Saccharomyces cerevisiae S288C: one gene and its partners. The gene in region 1 interacts genetically with each later gene. Each region holds a gene or a part of one and is shown in the gene's direction. Other genes may lie near its edges.

Region 1 (3,572 bases):
CGAAACATACTCCTCCTCTGTACTAAACTTTTTTTCAGCTGCCCACATATTTTCCATTTGTTTTATCAGAGTAATCAAAAGGTCTTCCTTAATAAGTTCGAGTGTAATTTTATATTCTTCAATGCTCTGGTAATATTCCTTATCAAAGCTAGCCTGCATCTCAGGATTCGCCTGAAAAGTATCCCTTATCTCTTCTAAAGATTGTGTGGTTTTTTCTATGCATATTTTTTCCAACCTTCTTGCCAATTCTTCAACAAGTTCAATATAATTTTTATCTTGACCAGCAGACATCAACAGTAAGGTGACTCTGGACACAGGAAATTTCGAAATTTGATCTAGGACCTCGCTAGAAACCTTATTCACCCTGATATTATTTTTTTCCTTTTGACTATTAAATTGCGTATGCACATTCTCTATTTGAGAAATATCTGCTGAGATCTTTCTTTTTACAACCTCTGCTTCAGTAAACTGCTGTTTTTTTATGTCTGAATAATCCAGGTTGGAGATAGTATTCTCCACAATTGGCTTTTCCCTGACAATAAACCTATAATCGTTATTTTTACTTTTGAATGAATCTGGGGCTGTTGAATTTGATATGGCATATGCAATATGTGTTGCTTTGGCAGTTGTCGTTCTCTTCACACGATACCACAGTGGAGCCTTACCGCATTTTCCATTTTCCATTACTTTACAAAATTTAACAAATACCCTCTTTCCTAATAATTGAAATAGCAGATCATCCTTTACAAAATAAAAATTTGAATTCAAACTATAAAGTATGTCAAGGCTTACCGGATTGTAAGTTTTTCTTAAATGGGCCCATTTTGTTAAGCCAACCTGACTCCTCAAATTGTTATCGTTCCACCTATAGAGCCTCCTTTCATTTAAGTATAGAAGGAAGCCCTCAATTATAATGTATTGATGACTAACATTGATCTCAATAAGGGGATACTCCCGATCAGGGTTTACATCCAATGAAAATTCACATACCCCCGCTAAGGGCTTTTCTTTATCTTTTAGCATCGGATGTATGTACACGGTGCCCCATTTTGGTAAATATAACCTGCAGCATTTACAAGTTAATTTCTTGACAACTTTGTAACGTAATTTGCTTCTGATCCTCTTCAGAATTATTCTTCCATCTTCTAACAAGAAAAACTCTCGCAAAACTAGCTTTATGTGTTTAAATAGTTCCATAGATTTCACTCCAACGAGCACCGAATTAGAATCCTTCTTTAATCGCGTCCAGTCCACCAAGTTTTGTTGTGATAGCTTTTTGTAGTCATCGTCATTGGGTAACAGTAATCTTACTTCAGGACTCCGAAAATTTATTGGTTTTCGCTTCACAGTGTCTACCAGCCATCCATCAATAACTGCAAGCCTGGAGTTGATCTGTAGCATTTTTTTTGATATTATCTTATAATTTTTCAGCTGCTTATAACGACGTGTGATTATTGACATTATTGTTCTCATTCTTATATTACTCAATATACATTCCGGGTCACATGTGCCCAAATTCTCGCGACAAACTTTTCGAGGCCGATATTAATAAACCATAGAAAAAGTACTGATCCTCGAAATCAGAGTTAAAGACTTTTAGAAGATTGGAAGTAAGGAATCCACCATTCGCTTGAGGTTTCGGGTTAGAAATTCTTTGCCTACCATTCGTTGCAAGCCTCTTTAGATTCTGCTTGCTGACTCGCTCGCTATTTGTTCTTTTTCAACAGAAAGCATAGACTTATTATTGTGACTAAGGATCAGTTATCGTTTGCCTGCTCGGGACAATTAAAACGAATATCTCTAAGTTGGATATTTTATACTGTGAGGCAGTTTTTGTACTGAGTTATTGAGTATTAGACAAAATTTCGAGTCCTTATTTTACTCTTCACCTAGGTCCGGCTTCTTAGTTTTGTGTTATTTATCAGGGATATATTTTTTTTTTGGGAGCTCATCGTAGTAAGAAGTAAAAGAGATGACTGCCAGCACATCAGTTGCGGTGGGTTGTGCGGTGGGTATACCCGTCGGTGTAGGTATTATAATAGCAGTATGTTTCTGGTTTAACCTACAAAAAAGATACAAGAGGGAGGAACAAGACGATAGAGAATTGGAAAGGGCTATTTATGATGAAAGTGGTTTCGTGTCCTTTGACAATTTTGGACCCTTAAGAGACAGTAAAGATGAAGCAGCACTAGCCAGCTCCGAGCTAAAAAATCCTGATCACACTTCTGGTTCATCGGAAGGATCTGCTCATCCAGAAGAAAAAGATGGAAAATCGCGAGATCAAGAGAAACCGTTAGGGAAAAAGAATAGTAAATACTATGTGCCAGCATACCGTAGGAAAATAAATTTACTTCAAGTACGAAATAATAACTACGGCAATAATGCCAGGCAGAAGTCCGTTGTGGATTTACCAAGTATAAATAACAGCTCCAATGTTTCCTTATCATCTTCCCAACGGCATATAACAAAGAGACAGATCAGCGTTTATGATCAGATGGTCCCTGTTATTTCTGATGAAGGACCAAACTTTTTCGCAGATCCTTCCAGTGATACTAATACTAGCAATGACCAAAACAAAGCTTCGATGATAGAACTTAAACATAATACTCGCCAATCTAGTAATGAAAATCTGATAAGAAATTTGCAGAATCAGGACTTTGGTTCGTATTACCCAAGGAGAGCTTCATCCTCGTTTTTAAATGGTAACATTTCAAACGCGTCCTTCCATACAAGGAATTCCTCTATAACATCGGTAAATAAGCGCGATGCCCTAGAGGATGTGTTTGCAACACCCAAAAGTGCGGCTCAATCACAGTTACCAAACACTTTTGATAAAGATAACGAAGGAATGGATGCTGACCACTCGGTAAAGGATAGCAGGTCTGCAATAACAGATAAAGATAAGGATTTATACAAATTACAGAATAACTATGATGTGGGCAATATCGGGGAAATTGCTGAGGAAGATCAATACGAAAACGAATTTACCAACTACTCACAGAGTAAGAGAGAGTTCATAGAAAGTCTAAGGCCTAAATAGTACTGTTGATATACTAAACATTATATTATAGTTAAAAAAAGAAGAAAAAAAGAGGAACAATTCTATTAAATTCACTTCAAACATCAAACGTAAACAATACAAACAGAACTCTTCATGGATGATGGGTTTTAAAAAATTAGTCAAGACATAATTCTTAAAGTTCATAGTCTCATTTTTCATTTTCTTTTTGCCTGCTTTCTCTTTTATACATCGCCGCATAATTTACTAAACGCCCTTTGTGTTTGTGGGCGGAAAGAAATATATTCCCTTAAAATTTCCAGGAAATTATGTTGCTACAATGACTTATAAAGGGAAAAAATAAGAAGAGAAATCTTGGAAGAATACCCTAGTAAAATAGTGTACAAGGCAAAGTTCTTAATTATGCAAAATCGCCGTATATGAAATAGAACAACTTTTTATACAGCTTAAATACAGAATTCAAGTATGTTAATCAACATGAAAGAAAAAAAAAAAAAAATGCGAGTCATGAAACTACACGTTTTTTTCAGAGAATATTATCCATCTTGTGCTA
Region 2 (4,396 bases), 570 kb from region 1:
TTGTTTGATAAGCATTTTGTTTCAGAGACGTGGTCTTTGAGAGCACCTGACAAACATGCAAGAGCGAAGTTACTGGAGTATTTTTTCTCGAAAAACCAGATCATGAAACTAAATCGAGATTTGCAATTCAGTGATTTGTCGTTGGAGACAGAAGGATTTTCGCCACTAGATTTGGAAATATTCACAGAAAAGATTTTCTACGACTTGCAGTTGGAAAGAGATTGTGATAATGTTGTAACAAGGGAACTTTTTTCGAAGTCGCTTAGTGCGTTTACACCATCTGCGTTGCGTGGAGTAAAGCTAACAAAAGAAACGAACATCAAATGGGGGGATATTGGTGCTTTAGCAAATGCCAAAGATGTCCTTCTAGAAACCTTAGAGTGGCCCACAAAATATGAGCCTATTTTCGTTAATTGTCCCCTAAGATTGAGATCAGGAATCTTGCTTTACGGTTATCCTGGTTGTGGTAAAACGCTTCTGGCGAGCGCCGTGGCACAACAATGTGGGTTAAACTTTATCTCCGTTAAGGGACCAGAGATTTTAAACAAGTTTATAGGTGCCAGCGAACAAAACATAAGAGAATTGTTTGAAAGGGCACAGTCCGTCAAACCCTGTATTCTATTTTTTGACGAGTTCGATTCTATTGCGCCAAAGAGAGGGCATGACTCCACTGGTGTCACAGACCGTGTAGTCAATCAATTATTGACCCAAATGGATGGTGCCGAGGGCCTTGATGGTGTATATATACTAGCAGCTACAAGTAGACCTGATTTGATTGATAGCGCATTGTTAAGACCGGGAAGATTAGACAAAAGTGTGATCTGTAATATACCGACTGAATCAGAGAGGTTAGATATCTTGCAAGCTATCGTCAATTCAAAAGACAAGGATACGGGACAAAAAAAATTTGCATTGGAGAAAAATGCAGACTTGAAGTTGATCGCTGAAAAGACAGCTGGTTTTTCGGGTGCTGATTTACAGGGGCTCTGCTACAATGCTTATTTGAAATCTGTACATAGGTGGCTGTCTGCTGCAGACCAATCGGAAGTGGTACCCGGCAATGATAATATAGAATACTTCAGTATCAATGAGCACGGGCGTAGAGAAGAAAATAGACTACGGCTAAAGACTCTATTGCAGCAAGATGTGGTGCACGAGACAAAGACAAGCACTTCAGCTGCTTCTGAGCTGACAGCTGTGGTCACAATAAACGATTTATTGGAAGCCTGTCAAGAGACAAAACCTAGTATTTCAACAAGTGAGTTGGTCAAATTAAGGGGGATTTACGATAGGTTCCAGAAGGATAGGAACGGTGAGATGCCCAATGGTGAGAATTCCATCGACATTGGTAGCCGACTCTCCCTTATGTGAAAAGGAAGAAGAAAAGAACAAAGCGCGTTTCCCTTTAAAGGGCAAAAAATGCGGCGCACGTTGCTTATTACGTGACATGACCCTATTGTATTGTGCGAGCACGCAGGACGGGAAAAATATTGGTGAAATTACATAACGCATTTTTTTTCCCTTGTGGTGAAAAGGAAAAACCCGAGAAATATGCCAGTAACAGTGGAGACCGGTCAAGATGTATTGAACGAAATCCGAAGTTGCATATATAACATAAATGCCTGCTACCTTTTGATACTTAATTCTTCTTAGCACCTATACGCTTTTTTTTTCATTTTTCCTTATCTTTTCTTTTTCTCGCAGAAGTCTATACAAAGAAGAAATATATATATATCTATTTCTTTTTTTTTTCAACCGTATACCACCGGCAACAAACCTCCATGTATTCATAGGCCCTGCATTACATCAAGAAATATTAGCATAAACGTATAGACCATTTTAACGCCACAGGCAAGCATACGCATTAAATCGCACCACCAACCAATGACAGTCTCACACAATCATTCTACGAAGATATCCCAACAACCAATCTCCTCGGTATCAGCATTTAAGTTCTTCGGAAAGAAGCTGTTAAGTTCAAGCCATGGGAACAAGTTGAAGAAAAAGGCGTCTCTACCTCCAGACTTCCACTCTACAAGTACTAATGACAGCGAATCCTCCAGCCCAAAACTGCCGAATTCGTTGAAAACCTCTCGCCGTGCAAACTCTTTCGCTCACACAACCAACAGCAAGAGATCTTTATCTTCCGCCTCAACCAAGATCCTACCTCCGGCCGGCTCCAGCACGTCCATCTCAAGAGGAAACAGACATTCGTCCACTTCGCGTAATCTCTCAAACTCCAAGTTCAGTAGCGAACGATTAGTGTACAATCCATACGGCGTCTCAACCCCAAGCACGTCACTCTCGTCCGTCTCTACCTCCATGAAGAAAGACCCTGATCTGGGCTTCTACCTTCACGATGGGGATTCCAAAATCCGCATGCTGCCGATCCCAATTGTGGACCCAAACGAGTATCTGCCCGACGAGATGAAGGAGGCAAGCATCCAGTTGAGCGATAACTTCGTCTTTGATGATGAGAATAAGACCATCGGATGGGGCGGTTCGTGCGAAGTGCGCAAGATCCGCTCCAAGTACCGCAAGAAGGACGTATTTGCTCTAAAGAAGCTCAATATGATCTATAATGAAACGCCCGAGAAATTCTACAAGCGCTGCTCAAAGGAGTTTATCATCGCAAAGCAGCTAAGTCATCATGTTCACATCACAAATACTTTCCTTCTAGTCAAGGTGCCCACCACCGTCTACACCACTCGCGGGTGGGGGTTCGTCATGGAGCTAGGTCTACGAGATTTGTTCGCGATGATACAAAAATCGGGCTGGCGCAGCGTGGCCCTAGCAGAAAAGTTTTGTATATTCAAACAGGTGGCGTGTGGTGTCAAGTTTTGCCACGATCAGGGCATCGCCCACCGTGATTTGAAACCGGAAAATGTACTGCTATCCCCGGACGGCGTGTGCAAGCTGACAGATTTTGGTATCTCAGACTGGTACCACACGGATCCACACGACCTGTCCAGCCCTGTCAAGAAGTGCGCAGGGATGATCGGCTCGCCGCCGTATGCTCCCCCGGAGGTCATGTTCTACGACTCCAAGAAGCACTACGATACGGAATTGCAACAGCCGTATGACCCACGCGCTCTAGACTGTTATGGCCTGGGTATTATCCTCATGACCCTCGTCAACAACGTCATTCCATTTTTGGAATCCTGCAGCTTCGACACTGGTTTCCGCGATTACTGTGACGCTTATGAAAACTTTATCCGTCTTCACGATCGCGCATTCCGCAATCGCGGCAATTACCGCCCGGGGCCGGGAATGGAGTATCACTTGGCTAGAAATTTCAAGAACGGACATGCATCTCGCGTGGCATGGCGGCTCGCTGACCCAGAAGCCGCCACCCGCTACACCATCGACGACCTCTTCGAAGACCCATGGTTCCAAGGAATTGAGACTTGTGTTGATGCCAACGACAAATATGTGTGTAAGAAACCTATTATCAAAACCACTACGTACGAGAATCCGCGGGGTTTCCATATCGCTACAGATGTTGCTGCAACCACACCCACCTCAAACCCATTCCTTAAGAACCGAGTCCCCATCAGGTCAATGGTAGATATAGCCGCCCATCCTTCCCCAACGGCCACGGTTTTAGCGTCGTCGCCTCCGCCGCCTCCTCCGGCGACTCATGTGCCAGCCGAGGCCTTATTTACACTTAGGGAAACCCCGCCGCCCCAGCTAGCAACCCTCACGCTTAGCGAAGAACCTCCCGCAACTCCCGCACCTTCCGCACCTTCCGCACCTTCCGCTCGCGTCCGTGGCCACTCCCCGCACAGGGTAGTGCATCACCATCTGAACATTGTCAACAGCTTGGTCCATAGTTCTAGCGCGGCGTCTTCTCAAGTTCCGGCTTCGACCTAGCCAGAATGTGCAGCAGAGTAAATAATATTCACTTCCCTGTTCCTAAAGCGTACAATATACAACTCCAACTTCATATCAACTACCAGAAACAGTAACATACGTAATAGTTATTTTCTATATTTTTATTTTTTTTTTGCCACTGACCAGTCTTCGCGGCGGTGTGAGTTTCCGTCTGTACGCAGCATTTAGCAGAGATTTGCCAATGCCAAGAAACTCCGCTAAACTAACATCGCGATGCAATGGGCTTGGTATTCCGTGGAAGAAAATGAAAACCGGCGCAAAGAATCCTCCGAGAAAATTTGATGCGGTGCACGGATTTCAGCACGGGTTTCAGCACGGATTTTATTTCTTTGCACCCCGCAAATTTCTGGGCGATGATAAACATACCGCATCTAAAACCGTATACAGACTACGGCACAGAAGCCAAGACTAACAAAAAAAAAAAAAAAAAAAAAAAAGAAAAAAGAAAAATGTCACGTGTTATTCCTTGTGCCCTCTGACCTACGTAGTTACTTGCGTGGCT
Region 3 (3,199 bases), on another chromosome or scaffold:
GCAATCGCATACACATAAAAGAAGCCGAAATATTTTATCAAATACAATAGAAGCTAAAAGCAAGAATTGATAATGTAATAGGATAAAGTAATATAGTTATGGAGATTTATCGACGCCTTTTTGTGGATTCCAAGACCCTCGAGAAGAACTTCTAGTATACTCTGTGTACGAATATTATAGCCTTTCTTCAACAATGGATTTCAAACAATTATCCAATTATTCACCCAAAATTTAATATAAAACATACAAGGATTGCAATTTCAATTGACTTATACTAAGGCATAAGATCCTGATATTATGCTTACGACTTATATAATAAGTGGCAACTTGGCCGAGTGGTTAAGGCGAAAGATTAGAAATCTTTTGGGCTTTGCCCGCGCAGGTTCGAGTCCTGCAGTTGTCGATAATTTTTTTAAAAAAAATTGTGGAAATTTTGTCATTCAGTATTAAAGATTTTCTATGCAATAAACTAATTAACATTCTACAGAAAAAGTAAACTAATCTTTTTAATTAAGGGAAGACTCACTATCATTATAAGTTGCATTTTGTCCACTAGACTCATAATCGGAACAATTAACATCCAATGTATTTGAAAGTCTCTTTTTACTTAACTTTGGTGCTGCCCTTGGTGTCTCTTGGCCAACAAAATCTCCGTTATTAGAAATCGAGACCGGATATATTGGAAGATATTGGTAATTTTTTTCTTTATCTAGACTTTTGGTCTGATGGGGCAGTCTTGTTTTCTTAAACAATGGCGAATCGTATACGTTAACATTCGGATAAAGCAACTCCGGCCGTTGGATGGGAATGGCATAGTTTAGGTTTGGGTTATGACTTGGCGTCAGGAACGTTGGGTTTCCAACGAAATTTTGATACGGGCTAAAATTATACATAGGAGAAGGAGCAATATAGTAAGGAACTGGAAACATGGGTGCTTCTCTTTCTACATTTATTTGAGAAGATTGAGAAAGAACCGGCGTTGAAGTAGATTTTGGAGGCTGCTCAATGTCCTCGAACCTTAAGGAATTATCAAATGAGGGGCGCTCTATTGTTTGTCTTTCGTTTTTCAAGGTATTGCTTGATTTATTTTTCAAATATCGAACATCTCCAGCCTTTGAGTACTGTTGAGCATCACTTACAAAATTTAATCCTGGATGTGGGCTTTCTAGTCTTAAATCGACATGTTTCGAATTGAATATATTTTCTGATTCTGTTTTTTTTGTTTTTCTGATTTCCTTATTCTTGATTTCTTTACCAATTTTAAAAGCAAGTGGAGAAACTCGCAAGTTTGGGGTCTTCTCTTGAAGAGGTTTTTGAACTTTCCTTTTAGAATGTGTTGGTGACCCTAATTCGAGTAGCCTAAAGCGTTTTCTGGGTGCCATAATTATTCTCGACTCAACTTCAATCCGTTTTCTTTCTTCTTATTGCGCTAATTGTCTGTTAGACACTTTTATGAGACTTCCTTTTTGTCGGCGGCTATTTCTCAATATACTCCTAATTAATACATTTCCGTGCAAAGGTACTAACTAGCTAAACGGATACTAAAGAATTCAAATGTGAATTTAAGCATAACTGCAGGTAAATCAAGAAGCTTGAATATTATACTGTAGTCAAAAATTAGATGTGTAAATACTGTGTATTATAATTCTGAAGTTTATTCAGAAAATATCATGGAACAAATGATACGCTGAAGTGCCTTCTGCCCGGAGATAAAGAATTCATAAAGTATAATCTCCATGAGACTTCCAGGACAAATATTTTCTCTTAAAGCGCTTGCTTTAGTAGTATTGCATCCAATGCTAATTTGTCTTTATTGATCTCTAGGCTCAATCCTCACTTTCTCGCGTCAATTGGTTTTTTGAACAGAAAAAAAAAGCACCGTCTGAAAAGTTTGAAACCTTTTGTCAGCAACGAGTAATTGCCAAGTGAAAAGGGAAACCTAAATACATACGATCAAGCTCCAAAATAAAACTTCGTCAACCATGCCTATTAATATTCGCAGAGCGACAATCAATGACATTATATGTATGCAAAATGCCAACCTTCATAACCTACCCGAAAATTATATGATGAAATATTATATGTATCATATTCTCTCGTGGCCAGAGGCTTCGTTTGTTGCTACTACCACCACTTTGGACTGTGAAGATAGTGATGAACAAGATGAGAACGACAAATTGGAATTGACCTTAGATGGGACCAATGACGGCAGGACAATCAAGTTGGATCCAACATACTTGGCTCCGGGCGAAAAATTAGTTGGATACGTTCTCGTGAAGATGAACGACGACCCCGACCAGCAAAACGAGCCACCAAATGGTCATATTACTTCCTTAAGTGTCATGAGAACCTATAGAAGGATGGGGATTGCCGAAAACTTAATGAGACAAGCTTTATTTGCGTTGAGAGAAGTTCATCAAGCGGAATATGTTTCCTTGCATGTGAGACAATCTAATAGAGCAGCTTTACACTTGTACAGGGACACATTGGCGTTTGAGGTGTTGAGTATCGAGAAAAGCTACTATCAGGATGGTGAAGATGCATACGCCATGAAGAAGGTTTTAAAATTAGAGGAGTTGCAGATAAGCAACTTCACCCATCGCCGTTTGAAAGAGAATGAGGAAAAACTAGAAGACGATCTAGAAAGCGATCTACTAGAGGATATCATTAAGCAAGGCGTAAATGATATCATTGTATAATTAAATCAACCTATATAAACGTAGTATATTTTCATCCAGGCTTCTTCACAAGCTCTGTTAGCTCTTTTTGAGCACGGTTCTAAACACTGCAGTGCTAATTCGGTAGAATTGTGTGAGCATGAATAGTAAGGAAACTGTGCATGCAAGCTTTCTTTTTTTATATATGTAATATCCGGCAGATAGGATATCTTAATTACATCTATCTCGTCTGCAAGAAAAAGTTCACGAATGCATCTAATGTTTAGACATCATAGAAATGCATAAAAATGAAAATGGCTACCCTATTCCTTTTCATAAACCACTTTATCGACCTTCACTTCTCCATTAACGTATAAATAAATGTATAACGTGCAGGTATTGCCTTGAATATCCAAGAGGCAGAAACTTGGTGAATTAGACCCATTTATATCCGAATCTGACATATCAACCTCGTCTTCCTTAAATTGGTTTTCAGGCTTAACGTTGCTTTCATTCTCATTCTCACGTTCCCCAGCAGTGCC
Region 4 (6,112 bases), on another chromosome or scaffold:
CATAATGATTCCTGTACCAGAATTGATATTACAAAAGTCGAAAATCATAACCAAAATTCAAAAAGTAGACAATCAGAGACCACTCACGAAGTGGAACTAGAAATCAACACGCCTGCACTGTTAAACGCCTTTGATAACATAACGAACGATAGTAAAGAATATGCATCTCTTATTAGAACGTTTCTGAATAATGGTACAATTATTAGAAGAAAGTTATCGTCTTTATCATATGAAATTTTTGAAGGTTCAAAGAAAGTCATGTAATATTTGAATCATTTCAAAAAAAAATAAGCAAATGCCCTTGAGCGAGAAATTTTTTTTGTTTACTCAAATGCTGTTATGAAAGCTTATGTAATAATAATAATAATGATAATAATAACATAAAAATAATTACTCTAACATTTCTTATTATCTCTATATATCCCTAATAAATAGGCCATTCTTATAATAACCAAGTCTTTCGCCATTTTGATACTATCAATAGCTAAAGCCATCTTAGAGCCATCAACCTCATGCCAGGAAATTGGTATCTCCTCAATTTGGATTCTTTTTCTGATGGCTAAGATCAAAATTTCAACGTCAAAGATCCAACCCTCTGTATGCAAATACGGAAAAATTTTCAATATAGCGGCTCTGTTGAACAATTTGAATCCACATTGTGTGTCTTTGATAGACCTGATGCCGAAGATGAAAACTAAGGTATGGAAACCGTACATCAAGCAGTTTCTTATCATTGATCTCTTTATGACGGCTTCGGTATTTACCATATGTGCTCTGGAACCAATTGCTACTGCTGGTTTAGTCGTTTTTAGATCTGTACTAGACGTTTCAATTTTGCTAATAGCATCTATTAGTTTTTCTACATCACTGAACTTACTAGCACCATCAGCATCGGCAAAAAGACCATACTTACCTCTAATATGTAAAAAACCTTGTCTCACTGCGCCACCTTTGCCTCTGTTTTGAGAAAACTTGATGATTCTGAATTGTTCGTAGTTCAATTTGAACTGTTCTTTACAAATTTTCAAACAGTATTGTGTGGTATTATCTGTGGAACCATCATCCACTATGACAATCTCCCATCTGGAACCATATTTTTCCTTTAAAAAGCTGATTGCGTCTGTCAACATTAGTAAAATTCTACCTGTCTCATTATAGCTTGGGATAACAACAGATAAAAATATTTCTTCGTCATCTTGGTGTTCATTCAAGTTAGGTAAGGCACGACTAACTTCATGACCTTTTTCATCAATAGCTATGTATTTGAGCTCCTCTGGATATGGCGGCCTTGGTGTATGCGAAAATAAATAGACCAATAAATACAGTGAAAGCACCAAGGCTACTAAGAGCGTAAAAAAGACAGTGTTTCTGTTCTCAATCAGGAATCTCAACGCTCTCATTTTTGTTGTGCTTTGTGTAATTTTTGGCTGCCTCTCTGTTTTTGTCCCTTTCTTACGTTATCAAAAGCACCTAATCTATCCTTACAGCATCCAATTAGATACCACTACCTTTCCACAGTGACTATGGTCCTTTGTGCCACTTTAATTGCGATAAAGCCTTGAAAATTGGCACGTTTTCTTCTTGTTTACACTTTTTTTCGAATACGCCAAATTTCGCTTTCTCATGAAAAAAATGGCATACACTGCTTCGAAAGATACAACAGAGCCATGTGCATTAATATATATAAATTAAAAGGTACTGAAGTGATAACGGTGAAAATAGGATAACTATGTACACTTGACTTTGGACTTGTTAGTTGTGACTAGTATAGAAGTTACAAGATCAAATGGAATAAACCCAAACACCACATCTAATTTTTCAATGGAAAAAGAAAAGTTTCAAGGTGGAAAAAAAATTTTCAGCAGCATCGCAATAAATGTTAAAAAATAATAATATATTGCAACCTATTTAAGATAATACATATGCGTCGATCTATAGTGCATAATTTATATCTTGTAAACTGTAAATACAACGACAATCAGTGCTAATTCAACTCAGGATGCCTCCAAAGAAGTTTAAGGATCTAAACTCTTTCCTTGACGACCAACCAAAGGACCCAAATCTAGTCGCTTCTCCCTTCGGTGGTTATTTTAAAAACCCTGCTGCTGATGCCGGTAGTAATAACGCTTCCAAAAAAAGTAGCTACCAACAACAGCGTAATTGGAAACAGGGGGGCAACTACCAACAAGGTGGTTACCAATCGTATAACAGTAATTACAACAATTACAACAACTACAACAACTACAACAATTATAACAACTACAATAACTATAATAAATACAATGGCCAGGGCTATCAAAAATCTACTTACAAACAATCGGCTGTGACGCCCAACCAAAGTGGAACTCCAACTCCATCTGCTTCTACTACATCTTTGACCTCTTTGAATGAAAAGCTGTCGAACTTAGAGTTAACACCCATCTCTCAATTTTTGTCAAAGATACCTGAATGTCAAAGTATCACTGATTGCAAAAATCAAATCAAACTAATCATTGAAGAATTTGGCAAAGAAGGTAACAGTACGGGTGAGAAAATTGAAGAGTGGAAAATCGTCGATGTTCTATCTAAATTCATCAAACCTAAGAATCCATCATTAGTTAGAGAATCTGCCATGCTAATAATTTCCAACATTGCTCAATTTTTCAGTGGAAAGCCACCACAGGAAGCATACTTGCTACCATTCTTCAATGTCGCACTTGACTGTATTTCAGATAAAGAGAATACAGTCAAACGTGCCGCGCAACATGCCATTGATTCTTTGTTGAATTGCTTTCCAATGGAGGCTTTAACCTGTTTTGTACTGCCTACGATTTTGGATTACTTATCATCTGGTGCCAAATGGCAAGCTAAAATGGCCGCTCTAAGCGTTGTAGATAGAATAAGAGAAGATTCGGCGAACGATTTATTGGAACTTACTTTCAAAGATGCAGTTCCAGTTTTAACCGATGTAGCAACTGATTTCAAACCTGAATTGGCCAAACAAGGTTACAAAACTTTATTGGACTACGTTTCTATTTTGGATAACTTAGATTTGTCTCCTCGTTATAAATTGATCGTGGACACCCTGCAAGATCCATCTAAGGTTCCTGAATCTGTAAAATCGTTATCCAGTGTTACATTTGTCGCTGAAGTTACGGAACCTTCACTATCTTTGTTAGTTCCTATTCTAAACAGATCTTTAAACCTATCGTCATCATCTCAAGAGCAATTAAGACAAACCGTTATTGTCGTGGAGAATTTGACAAGATTGGTGAATAATCGTAATGAAATTGAAAGCTTCATCCCTCTACTACTACCCGGTATCCAAAAGGTTGTTGATACTGCGTCCTTACCTGAAGTTCGTGAATTGGCTGAAAAGGCCCTTAACGTTCTAAAAGAAGATGACGAAGCTGATAAGGAAAACAAATTCTCAGGCAGACTGACTTTAGAAGAAGGTAGGGATTTCTTACTTGATCACCTCAAGGACATTAAAGCTGATGATTCCTGTTTTGTCAAGCCTTACATGAATGACGAAACTGTTATCAAGTATATGAGCAAGATTTTGACCGTGGATTCTAATGTGAACGACTGGAAAAGACTTGAAGATTTTTTGACCGCCGTTTTTGGTGGTTCAGATTCACAAAGAGAATTTGTCAAACAAGACTTTATCCATAACTTGAGAGCTTTATTCTACCAAGAAAAGGAAAGGGCAGATGAGGACGAAGGTATTGAGATTGTCAACACTGATTTCTCCTTAGCTTATGGTTCAAGAATGCTTTTGAACAAAACAAATCTTCGTCTCCTAAAGGGTCATCGTTACGGTTTGTGTGGTAGAAATGGTGCTGGTAAGTCTACTTTAATGAGAGCAATTGCTAATGGTCAATTGGATGGTTTTCCTGACAAGGATACATTACGCACCTGTTTCGTCGAACATAAATTGCAAGGTGAAGAAGGTGATTTAGACTTGGTTTCCTTCATTGCTTTAGATGAAGAACTGCAATCTACTTCTCGTGAGGAAATTGCAGCCGCTTTAGAATCTGTCGGTTTTGATGAAGAGAGAAGAGCACAAACTGTTGGATCTTTATCTGGTGGTTGGAAAATGAAGTTGGAATTGGCAAGAGCTATGTTACAAAAAGCTGATATTTTATTGCTGGATGAACCTACCAATCATTTAGATGTTTCGAACGTTAAATGGTTAGAAGAATACTTACTGGAACATACTGATATTACTTCATTGATTGTTTCGCATGACTCTGGTTTCTTAGATACAGTCTGTACTGACATCATCCATTATGAAAACAAGAAATTGGCTTACTACAAAGGTAACTTGGCAGCATTTGTTGAGCAGAAACCTGAAGCTAAATCTTACTATACCTTAACAGATTCTAATGCTCAAATGCGTTTCCCACCCCCAGGTATTTTAACAGGTGTTAAGTCTAACACTAGAGCCGTCGCTAAAATGACTGATGTAACTTTCTCTTATCCAGGTGCCCAAAAGCCTTCCTTAAGCCATGTCTCCTGTTCATTGTCTCTGTCTTCTCGTGTGGCTTGTTTAGGTCCTAACGGTGCTGGTAAATCCACTTTGATCAAGCTATTAACTGGTGAATTGGTTCCAAATGAAGGTAAAGTGGAAAAACATCCAAATTTACGTATTGGTTATATTGCTCAGCATGCATTGCAACACGTCAATGAACATAAGGAAAAGACGGCAAACCAATATTTGCAATGGCGTTATCAATTCGGTGACGACCGTGAAGTCTTATTGAAGGAATCCAGAAAAATATCCGAAGATGAAAAGGAAATGATGACAAAGGAAATCGACATTGATGACGGTAGAGGTAAGAGAGCCATTGAAGCTATTGTAGGTAGACAAAAGTTGAAAAAATCTTTCCAATATGAGGTCAAATGGAAATACTGGAAACCAAAATACAACTCCTGGGTTCCAAAAGATGTTTTGGTCGAGCATGGCTTTGAAAAATTGGTTCAAAAATTCGACGATCACGAAGCCTCCAGAGAAGGGTTGGGTTACCGTGAATTAATTCCTTCAGTTATCACCAAACATTTTGAAGACGTTGGTCTTGATTCTGAAATTGCTAACCATACTCCATTAGGTTCTTTATCTGGTGGTCAATTAGTTAAAGTCGTTATTGCCGGTGCTATGTGGAACAACCCTCATTTACTTGTTTTGGATGAACCTACCAACTATTTGGACAGAGACTCTCTTGGTGCTTTGGCCGTTGCTATTCGTGACTGGAGTGGTGGTGTCGTTATGATTTCGCATAATAACGAATTTGTTGGTGCTTTATGTCCTGAACAATGGATTGTGGAGAACGGTAAAATGGTTCAAAAGGGCTCTGCACAAGTTGACCAATCCAAATTCGAAGATGGTGGTAATGCTGATGCCGTTGGTCTAAAGGCCTCCAACTTGGCCAAGCCATCTGTAGATGACGATGATTCTCCAGCTAACATCAAGGTCAAGCAAAGAAAGAAGAGATTGACAAGAAATGAAAAGAAGCTGCAAGCCGAACGTCGTCGTCTACGTTACATTGAGTGGTTGTCATCGCCAAAAGGTACACCAAAACCAGTTGATACTGACGATGAAGAAGATTGAAAGCCTACTGGCTAGTGTTTTATCTTCGCTAACTTCGTTTGTTTCACTCCATCTTTTTTCTTTAATTCACTCCTCAAATGGAGTTTACTACGTTGATAGAATTTAGGACAAGCATATGACGCTCTCCTTCCTTTTTTGTTTTCTAGGTTAATTCATTTTTCATACAGAGTAGTTAATATTGGTTCTTTTCATATATGTACGGTACGCAGATTAATTATGTAAACTTAAACTTAAGGGATCCTTTTTGATGCTAACAATTGTCGATGTTGAACTACAAATTTATGTAAGAGGTCGTTGTTAAGGATTATTATTTTAAAAATACACGAAGATTGATTATTATTTCTTACATGAGGTTATGAATCGTGCTCCAAAAGTATACCAAAAATAACTCCTGAACTGCTAGGCACAGTTTGCGATAATTTAAAGGGGTTAAATACACTTTTACTACTGGCTTTCACCTTATAAATCCCTCATTAAACTAAAGATGAATGAACATTGTTGAAGAAATTGTCCGGGTAAGAG

The links.
Region 2: mutations in SKG1 (region 1) and PTK1 together harm fitness more than expected from each alone (negative genetic interaction), as found in Saccharomyces cerevisiae (2 studies listed by BioGRID).
Region 3: mutations in SKG1 (region 1) and ARD1 together harm fitness more than expected from each alone (negative genetic interaction), as found in Saccharomyces cerevisiae (3 studies listed by BioGRID, with this or other methods).
Region 4: mutations in SKG1 (region 1) and NEW1 together harm fitness more than expected from each alone (negative genetic interaction), as found in Saccharomyces cerevisiae (2 studies listed by BioGRID).

Annotation. Positions count from the first base shown.
Region 1 is NC_001143.9:638,369-641,940, reverse strand, and holds SKG1 (Skg1p), read left to right. Parts: upstream 1-1,972; coding exon 1,973-3,040; downstream 3,041-3,572. Other genes in the region: SIR1 (Sir1p), read right to left, coding at 1-1,401.
Region 2 is NC_001143.9:67,709-72,104, reverse strand, and holds PTK1 (putative serine/threonine protein kinase PTK1), read left to right. Parts: upstream 1-1,884; coding exon 1,885-3,873; downstream 3,874-4,396. Other genes in the region: PEX1 (AAA family ATPase peroxin 1), read left to right, coding at 1-1,371. UniProt on the Saccharomyces cerevisiae protein: Essential determinant for low-affinity spermidine transport.
Region 3 is NC_001140.6:130,230-133,428, reverse strand, and holds ARD1 (peptide alpha-N-acetyltransferase complex A subunit ARD1), read left to right. Parts: upstream 1-1,982; coding exon 1,983-2,699; downstream 2,700-3,199. Other genes in the region: SPO13 (Spo13p), read right to left, coding at 507-1,382; retromer subunit VPS29, read right to left, coding at 2,981-3,199. UniProt on the Saccharomyces cerevisiae protein: Catalytic component of the NatA N-terminal acetyltransferase, which catalyzes acetylation of proteins beginning with Met-Ser, Met-Gly and Met-Ala.
Region 4 is NC_001148.4:119,768-125,879, forward strand, and holds NEW1 (New1p), read left to right. Parts: upstream 1-1,999; coding exon 2,000-5,590; downstream 5,591-6,112. Other genes in the region: CET1 (polynucleotide 5'-phosphatase), read left to right, coding at 1-264; ALG5 (dolichyl-phosphate beta-glucosyltransferase), read right to left, coding at 396-1,400.